Linked DNA regions of Sus scrofa. The protein of the gene in region 1 interacts with the protein of each later gene in a pairwise test. Links are inferred from orthologs where the notes say so. Each region holds a gene or a part of one and is shown on either strand. Other genes may lie near its edges.

What was found.
Region 2: the proteins of ZNF277 (region 1) and GNGT1 interact in a two-hybrid assay, tested with the Homo sapiens proteins (3 studies listed by BioGRID and IntAct). The two-hybrid records come from large-scale screens. The link is inferred for Sus scrofa from reciprocal best matches to the Homo sapiens genes ZNF277 and GNGT1.

What each region holds. Positions count from the first base shown.
Region 1 is NC_010460.4:33,420,247-33,424,617, reverse strand, and holds the start of ZNF277 (zinc finger protein 277), read left to right. Parts: upstream 1-1,511; 5' UTR 1,512-1,563; coding exon 1,564-1,732; intron 1,733-4,371. Other genes in the region: DOCK4 (dedicator of cytokinesis protein 4), read right to left, coding at 1,015-1,051. UniProt on the Homo sapiens protein: Probable transcription factor. Involved in modulation of cellular senescence; represses transcription of the tumor suppressor gene INK4A/ARF, perhaps acting via the Polycomb group (PcG) complex PRC1.
Region 2 is NC_010451.4:73,402,256-73,406,628, forward strand, and holds the start of GNGT1 (guanine nucleotide-binding protein G(T) subunit gamma-T1), read left to right. Parts: upstream 1-1,391; 5' UTR 1,392-2,517; intron 2,518-4,373. UniProt on the Homo sapiens protein: Guanine nucleotide-binding proteins (G proteins) are involved as a modulator or transducer in various transmembrane signaling systems.

The DNA.
Region 1 (4,371 bases):
AGAGAGCCTGGCTTCTTAATAGTCACTACCCTAAAAGGAGTAACTGTCAAGGGGCGACCCAGCTGAAATCAAACAACAAAAACGGGAACTGTAATCGGCCTGAAATGGGAGGAGGGAAAGGAAGGGAGACTCCTGTATTCATCCGTCAACATTAATGTCCTTTGTTGTTCACCTTTGCACAGAACGGCGAGCGTTACCCTGTTCCTTCTCCTCCAAACACCAGTGTCAGGGTAGTCCTTCCCCAAAAGCCGTCTCCGTGCCTCTAAGACCCAAGCTTTCCGATTCCCTCTCCCCATTATCGCTCCACAGCTGTCCTCCATCACCACCCCCACCGGCTCACCCCGGGCAGAGAGGGTGATCAGAAGTAAAAACATTGCTGAAATACCGGTTCCCCTCCAAAGACCAAAGAGCAGAGCGACGCAGATGTTGAAATTTACCAATCCCCCCCGCCCGTCAACACACACACAGGGTAACCCGGGATGAGAGTCCCCGGCCGGACTCTGTCTGACCGTCTCTTTTGAGGACGGTGCCACATTCCGCACTCTGGGAATGCTGAAGGGAGGCAGAGGGAAGGTTCTGCGCCTCCCTTCTGTTTTGGGGCTGTTCACTTAGCGCGATTGTTGTTGTCTCCCTCTCCACCCGGGAAATCGTTACAGCCCTTGCCGCCTTGGGGAAAGGTAGCAGCTGGAGAGGAACGCGGTTCGCTCTCCTCTTGCAACTTGACACACACACGCCCCGTCGCCACTACAAACTCCGCAGGCAGAGCCTGCAGCGGGCGGGCTGGTCGCGCGCTCCCCCCAGCCGCTGCCCGGAGCGCCCATCAGACGCTGAGCGGCGAGACCCCAGAGCGCACCCCTCTGCCCGGAGCTGGCTGGGTAAAGCCCCGAACCCGCAGCGCGATGCCAGGATGAGGCATTTCCAGCCGGGAGAAGAGAGAGTCGCCAGGGCAAGGACGCGAAATACGCACCCGCTCCGGCCAGAGCGGAATAAAAAGTTCGCCCCGCGGAGACTCACCCACGCCGTATTTCTCGTGCTCTGTAGGTATCCACATGGCTAAAGAGGGGTTCGGGGTCTTCGGGCTTTGTAATCCCCTCACCCCTTCTCCAGCTCACAACAATGCACAGCTCCGGAGTAGCGTCTGCAGCGCTGGAGCCCGGCGGCTCCGCGCGGGCTGCGGGCGCTGGGCAGGGTCTGCACTGGAAGCTCGCGAGTCCGAGGTTGACACCGCGCGGCCGAGGCTGCGCCGCCCGCCGCTCTCCAGGCGGCGGCTGCTCACAGTCCTCCGACGCGCTCCCGGGAACCCAGCGGCGCAGTCATTGTTCTGATTCACTGAACTAAGCGAACACGCCGGGGCACTCTCGGGCGCACCCCCGCCCGCCAGCGCCTCTTCCAGCCCTCCCTGCCCAGAGCCTGCGCAGCACACTGGGAATTGTAGTTCTGGGTCTCTCCATCCCGGAAGGGGGCGTGGCACTAGCATGTAGGGCGGGGTTATGTTCTGATCGTCACGTCCTATTGGCCCAGAACGTGACGGCACGGCGTGGGAGTGGAGGAAACGCCGCGTCGATGGGGACTTCGTTTCTAGGCGCGTTTCCATTGGTTGCGCTCCTGCCCGTGACCCTCCCTTTTTTCTTCAGCCGCGTAATGGCTGCTCCCAAGACCCAGGGGGCTGCTCCCCAAAAGGAGGAAGACGGTGATGGCAGCAGCGGCGGAGCCGGAGTTTTCACTTATGAGGGTGAGTACAGTACCTCTGAGGTGCAAGTGGTTTATTTTCCTTTTTCTCCCACCTAGAGTGCAGCTGACTGCGGGGCGGACCCCAGCTCTAAGGCCACCTGGGGGCGCGAAGGGGCCACATGAGGGGCCCCGAGGGACATGGTGGGGTGGGCGGCGGCAACTTGAAGGGGTCTTTCTGAGAAGGAAGAGAAAATGGGATGGAATGGCTTTTCCGAAGCCAAGGAAGTTCTCTGAGCGTTTATCCTGCCTTTGGAGCTCGCACCTTTGCGCTCTCTGCCGAGTGAGTGGGCGTGGGTCAGGTCAGGTTCCGGCCTGTGTGCTGTTAACTCTGGGATTAGCAGCGTTTTCTTCGCCAGTACCCTACCCCCGCTTCGATTTGCTTGCTTTGGCCTCTGAAGATAAGTTTTATTTGGGTTCGGGCGGATTTCCAGTTGCAGACTGGTCGCTGCCTTGCACGCCCCAGATTTTCTCAGTGGCTGGCTCGTGCAGCCTCTGAAGGGAGAGTGTGTGGCTCTCAGAGCTTCTCCCGTTGCTCATTGACTGCCCTTGGCATTCTCCGGGATTGGTGGAGCTGGGTCCTTGGAGCAAGAGGAAAGAAGCGGCAATTGGCTCTCGTGGCTTGAGAGAAAATCTTCACAGCTTCTTTGGCTTTACCTAACTTTCAAGTTGTCCTTTTATCCGGTGCAGAGGGCAAAAAAATCAAACTTTGAAAGCTGCTGGGGGATTATCTTTAGAATTCCTAGCCCAATTCTTTTACCTTTAATCTATATATTTATCCCCCACCTGACTCCCTTCTTTTTTGATTTGATATGTAACTTAACACAGCTAGTTGTCTTTTTCTAATGGACATGGTTTGGAGCTTCATTTTAGTTCTCCATCCTTATTGCGGTTTTGTAAAATTTCTTTCTTTGCTTTTGCATTCGTGGTTAAATTGACATTTTTGTCTTAGCACACAGACTGTGCTATGTCTTCCCACTTCCCATCCTAGTGGAACCTCCTACCTCTGAAATTATTTCAGCACTTCTGCCAAAGAAATCTTTGGTAAGCTCCGTACTTAAATATTGAGTTATATCCACATCCTAAACAATTCATTCCAGGGTTGGCCATATAGTCAGATCTTATCTAACAGTAACATACTCTTAAGGTTTTCCAGCTTCTCAAAATTCCAGAGGGTTACGTGTTTGAACATTTGAAGGTGGAATCCTTTGTAAATTGATCTCATAGATTAACTCATAAAGAAGAAAATGGTGTGCCTTTCAAAAACATTGTAAAACTTTTAAATATCATTACTTGTTTTTAAATTATAAAACTTTTCATTATAAACTGTTCAAACTGTTCAGAAATGTGTATGGTAAAAAACTGCAACATTTCAAAGTTTCCCCATCACACACAGTCCCATTCCCAAAGTAACAACTTTTACAGGTTTGGTGTGTGTTCTAATATATGGCTGTGTGACACACATCTGTATAGTTTTGGGGGTTTTTTTTAAATAAAAAGGGCTCATTCCGTGTAAGCATAAAGATCTGTCACCTTCTTTCTCACAATGATCTGTTAGAGACATTCTTCTACATCAGTACATTTATTGATTCATTCTTTTCAAGGACTATGCCCGTAGTATTCCATAGTATGGACATACCCTACTTCAGCTTTTCCTCTGTTAATGAACGTATACTGTAGCTTTAGTTTTTCAGTAATGTAGCGAACAACTTCACATACATGCTTGTTCACCAGGTGTGTATTTCTTGAGGAATTGGGTCAAAGATGACACACATTTAAAATTGTGGTAGATATCAGATTTTCCTCTTAAAGAGTGTATATAAACATTCCTACCAGTAGTCATATGAATATTCTTTTCTCCATATACTTACCAAACTGTGATGACCAGCATTAATTCAGGATGAATTTTTAGATAACTATTAGATTGAATTGAGTAACTGATAGGAAGCGTAATTTTAGGTTCCAATTTTACAACGAAGATATTGAGCAGCAGAACTGCCTAGTAGTCTCACTGATTTGTAGCAGTCAATGGAAGTTTAATGGTTGATTTTTATGTTGTTTTTATATGTGTTAAGGTTGTCATTAAAAATTCTCTTCAGAGTTCCCGTTGTGGCGCAGCGGAAACGAATCTGACTAGTAACCATGAGGTTGCGGGTTCGATCCCTGGCCTTGCTCAGTGGGTTAGGGATCTGGCATTGCCATGAGCTGTGGTGTAGGTTGCAGACGTGGCTCGGACCCTGCGTTGCTGTGGCTCTGGTGTAGGCCGGCAGCATGGCTCTGATTCAGTGCCTAGCCTGGGAACCTCCATATGCCATATGCTGTGGGTGCAGCCCTAAAAAGCAAAAAAAAAAAAAAAAAAAAAAATCTCTTAATAACCTGTTTATTATCCTGTGACTTTACCAACATTCTTTTACAAGCCTGCAAAGTGTGATACAGGTTTTGGTGGAAATAATGTAGATTCATATTTTTCTGTTAAAGCAACTACTTCAGTTATCAAAAATGTCTTCCCCTATAAAATCACTGATTTCTTGAAAAATGCCTCTTTTAACAGGTTTCTCTCTAATTAAAATATCAATCTGTGTATTTATATTATGAAACAGAAGGGACTAGGGAGTCTTTTTATAGGAATCCTTGCAATTCTAC
Region 2 (4,373 bases), on another chromosome or scaffold:
AGGTAGATCTGCAAAATAAAGTCTAAATAATGGGTTAAAAATCTAATTGGATTGTTGATTTTTGACTCTGACTGGATTTCCTTGGACCTCAAGGAAAATGAATGTTTAGGGAAGGAGAACTAATTTGTGAGAGCTTTTCATGATGTCTTTCACCCAGGCTTGGGAAGAGCATCATGAAAAAAGAGTACCCTTTTGGAAACTACGCACACAACATATTTTTCCTAATAGGTGTGAAGAATGGCTGCTATGCATAAATGATTGTTGGAAAATAATTCTCTGTAAAACATGACTTAAGAAGCAACTCCATTCACCACTGTACTCATTTCCAATATCTAGAACAACTGTGACACATCACATAGATGCCGATATTATCTGTTTATGAGTTAATAAATACCTTTTAGAAAAAATCCACAATTTTCAGTGTCTAATTTTCATACCCAGGAAGCAGGAGAATAAAACTTTTGGAGGAAAATTTATATTAACGGCAAGTAAAACTCACACAAAATCCTAGGATTTGTCAATATGAAACCCTAAGTTTTAGTACCTTCCTAGACAACGAGCTTTTCTTTAATCAATGTTAAGGTGAGGTGACTGAGACTAAGTCGACCCTAATCAGAACCTGAAACATCACAATCAAAGTGCAGTTTTGTCATCAAAAAAACAAGGTATCTGGCGCATCTCCACTGTTAACCATCCCCTAGAGAACATCCTAAATCTTAAAGCCCAGCTCATTCCAAGACCCTCCTTACCTGGAGCAGTCTCACTGGGCTGCCGGGCACAGCTCAGTGGAAGCGAAGGTCATTCGCAGGTGGTGGCTCCAGAGACTCAGGAACTCAGGCTCCAGCGCGCATCTCCTGGATTGGAGATTCCAGCCCCTGGGCGAGGTGCGGACGGCGCGCACCTCTCCAGCCCAGGAAGGTCCGAGAAAGGCGCGGCGCAGCCCTCCCAGGGTCTGGGGGGCTGGCCGTCCTAGTGAAGAGCAAAGTACATTAGTCCGGAGCGCTCCCTCTCCTGCCCTTCTCCCGATTTCCTGACACTCTAATTCTGCCTTAAGTGATCATTTACACCTAGCCCCAGCTAGTATATAGGCTAAAAGGCAAGGGCTTCATCCCCATGCTTGATTCCCACCTCCCCAAAGTCCAAGAGGCTCACCTTCCCGGCGCCTTCCTTCCCAGCTGTGAGCTCTGCGCAAACTTCTCCCGACTTAAGTCTTCTCCTGCCCGCTCCCCCGCCCCTCCCTGCCCGCTCTCCCTCCTCCCGGGCAGCAGAGGAGGTGGCAGCGGAATTGATGAGCGCCAGCCCCCCCGCCCCCGAACTCTCCCGCCCCCGTCAGCCCGCTCCTGTCCCTGGAGAGGGAGGGGGAGCAGGAGAGCTCTGAGCGCCTACGCGCCAGCCCCTCTCGCCCTGGCCCGCGAGTGGGGCTGCACCCGCACGGCTGCCTAGCTCGAGTCCCCGCGGGGGCTCACCCCACGAGACCCCAAGAGTAAAAAGCGGCGTAAACACGAGAAGCAGGAGAGGGACCCGAGTTAGACCTTGGGGAGGGGGTGACAGTCTGGGCTGGGGGATTCATAGTGTACAGGGAGATAGCTTTCTAGGAGCCTTGTCCCCCTCCCCAGAGGACGCAAATTCCGGAGGGAGGTGAGTTTCCAAAAGAACCCACCCCTAGAGACCGTGCCACCCCGGCTCCTTCAGCCGCTGCTTGGGGGACAGCACCACCTGGGAGCCTGTGGAGAGGGTCTCCAGTGGGCGAGGTGGTGAAAGTGAGATGGAGATGGGTGGGAAAACGTTTGTCTAGGAACTGGGGTGCCGAGAGAAAGCAAGGGAAGGAGCTGGGAGGCAGGAGGTAAGAAGAGGGGCTGGGGGGTCCGCAAAGTGTTGCCAGAGCGTTCAGAGTTGGGCAGCTGTCTGGGGCTGGAGGCGCAGACTGGATTGAGGGGAACAGCTCCCTTCATGTAGGGGCTGCTGGTGGGCACAGTAGCCTACGACGGGGAGTGAGCACAGTGAGGAGGTGAGGAAGACGGGGGTCTCGAGTGCCTCTCCCCCACTAAAGCCATTGATGCCAGGAGGAGCCCGGGACAATCTGATTCCGGGCAGGGCGCTACTCCTGCCGGCTGGAGCGCTCTGGAAGGCGGGCAAGTTGGTTCCAAGGACGCACAGCCCTCAACATCCTTTAGCCCACCGCTGGATAGAGCAAGGCAGCAGCGGACACTTTTTTTCCTAACTCTGTTCAAGGGACTTTGGGCTAAGAGAGCAACATCTCGCCGTGTCCCGAGACTGAGACTGCAAGGTGGTCGTGGACCGTCCAGGTTACCAACACTGTTTACTCAGCAAAAGAAATAAAGGCAACAGCAACCAAATAGGACGGGAAGAAAGCCAGACAACAACACAGAACACTTTCCGGGGCAGTCCGAGTTTCTCCTAAGCACTCAGACGACAGAGGTGCCCTGTGAATGGGACGGCAACCTACACCCATCCGTTCTGTGATCCCTGCCCTGGAGAGATTGCACTAGGCAAAAGGTGCGTGTGTTTCTGTCCTATTTTGAACTCCCATTTCTCACCCTAAGGGGACTTTAGGGACACCTAAATCATGTGATTGGGGGCTTTCATGGGACAGGGTCCGGGGACAGATTGGTTCTCCAACCAGACCTTATTAGGGGTTTTGTTTTTCAGGCTCTTTCTCCCCTCCTCGCTCCCCCCCCTTCCCTGCCACCTCCAGTCTGGTGACCCAGAGGGCTGTGTGTGAGTCACCATGCATTCAAACCCTACAGCACCGCCCCACTGCAAGAGAATATTCTACAGTCCCTTGATTCTGGGGATCTAAGTAGGAATGATGTATTTAGCTGTAAAAAAAAAAATGTGACTAGGAAAGGTAGCAGGGCAATTGGGAGAGGAATTTTGCAAATTAACACACATACACAGTAATGCAAACAAAACCTGTACAAGAACTCTTCTGAGTTCAAGACATAAATATGAATATTCACTCTGTGCTTTGACATTGTCCTGGGTTCAGTAGTTCCCTTCTTTCCAGCAGCTGCTGATCGGCCAACACCTGATCATGCCCTCCCATAAGAACTCTCTTACATAACATTCATTACCCTCTTTTGGTGTAAACAAGCAGAGAATTATTAAAGTTGTTTGAATATCTCTTATGGTCAACTTCCGGGGGCCAAGCATTGAGAATTTCCCTGTTGTAGCCAAATCATGGCAATAACATTGAATCAGGGAGGGTCTTTTGCCGAGTGGAGGGTATTGTTGTTCTCTGCATTCTGTTGATCGAGGAAGCACAGGGAGATCTTTCTGTTGAAGGTTAATCCTAGGGCATCCTACATCGCTTATTGACAGCTGGCATTCTGAGAGGAGGATGGGGCTTGGGTCCATGAAGCTACTGAAGGTGTATGGGACCACAACCCTTAACCATAACTTAGACAAAGCAAAAGTCTAAACATTAGTGAGAAAGATGGCATGGGGGTATTATAAACCTTAAACTGTGTGTTGTATAAGTGTAAAAGAAAGATCCAGACAAATTAAGGTGTTATTTCTGTTAGAGACAATATTGGAGAAAGAAAAAAAAAGCGGGGGGGGGAGGGTTCCCTGCAGGCAGAAGATTTCAGGGAAGACGACATGGGAGAAGTGGAATCAAAGATCAGGCTCTGGGGTCTCTCAAGAGGATAAAATTGACTCTGTCAGCCACGGATGTTTTTTGAACACCAAAAGGGGTTACACCTGTTAGAAACACTTGGAATGTACAGAAATTTAACTCTACTGCTGTCTTAACACTATCAAAATATTTTCCACGTAGATACAGTGTTGTAGATCCTTAGAGAGTGGGTATTACCTGGGGATGATCTATTAAGAGGACTTGACAGTGTTTTTGGAAATGCCGTGAGGCCACTTCTGGGTTCTGAAACCAATTTAGAGGGCACAAGCTACATTTAAAAAAATAAGGTGAAACAGATAGAAAATATAGAGTTCATCTCCTGTGACAAGGGTGAGCATGGTTTCCTGAAACTTGTGTCTCTTCTTTATACTTATGTATGTACTGAGATACAAAGTAAAATATATTTCTTTCTGGGACTCAACAAACAAAAGTTTCTTAAGGTACTTGTTTGTAATAAGCCACACTTCGAATAAGAATACCTTATATCTGCAAGTAAGCCTGAAAATGAAATTAGTTCACATCAAAGGGGCATTCAGGAAATAAGCATCTTAAAATGTGATAGATACATTTTTGAAATTTTCTCTGATTACTTATGACTTTTAAATTCTCTGTCTTTAGGAGATTTTGCCCTTTCCTTCTGTCCCTTTTCCTCTTAAAAAAAAAAAAAAAAAAAAAAAAAAAAAGAGAAAGAGAGAGAGAGGCCCTGTGACTTCTC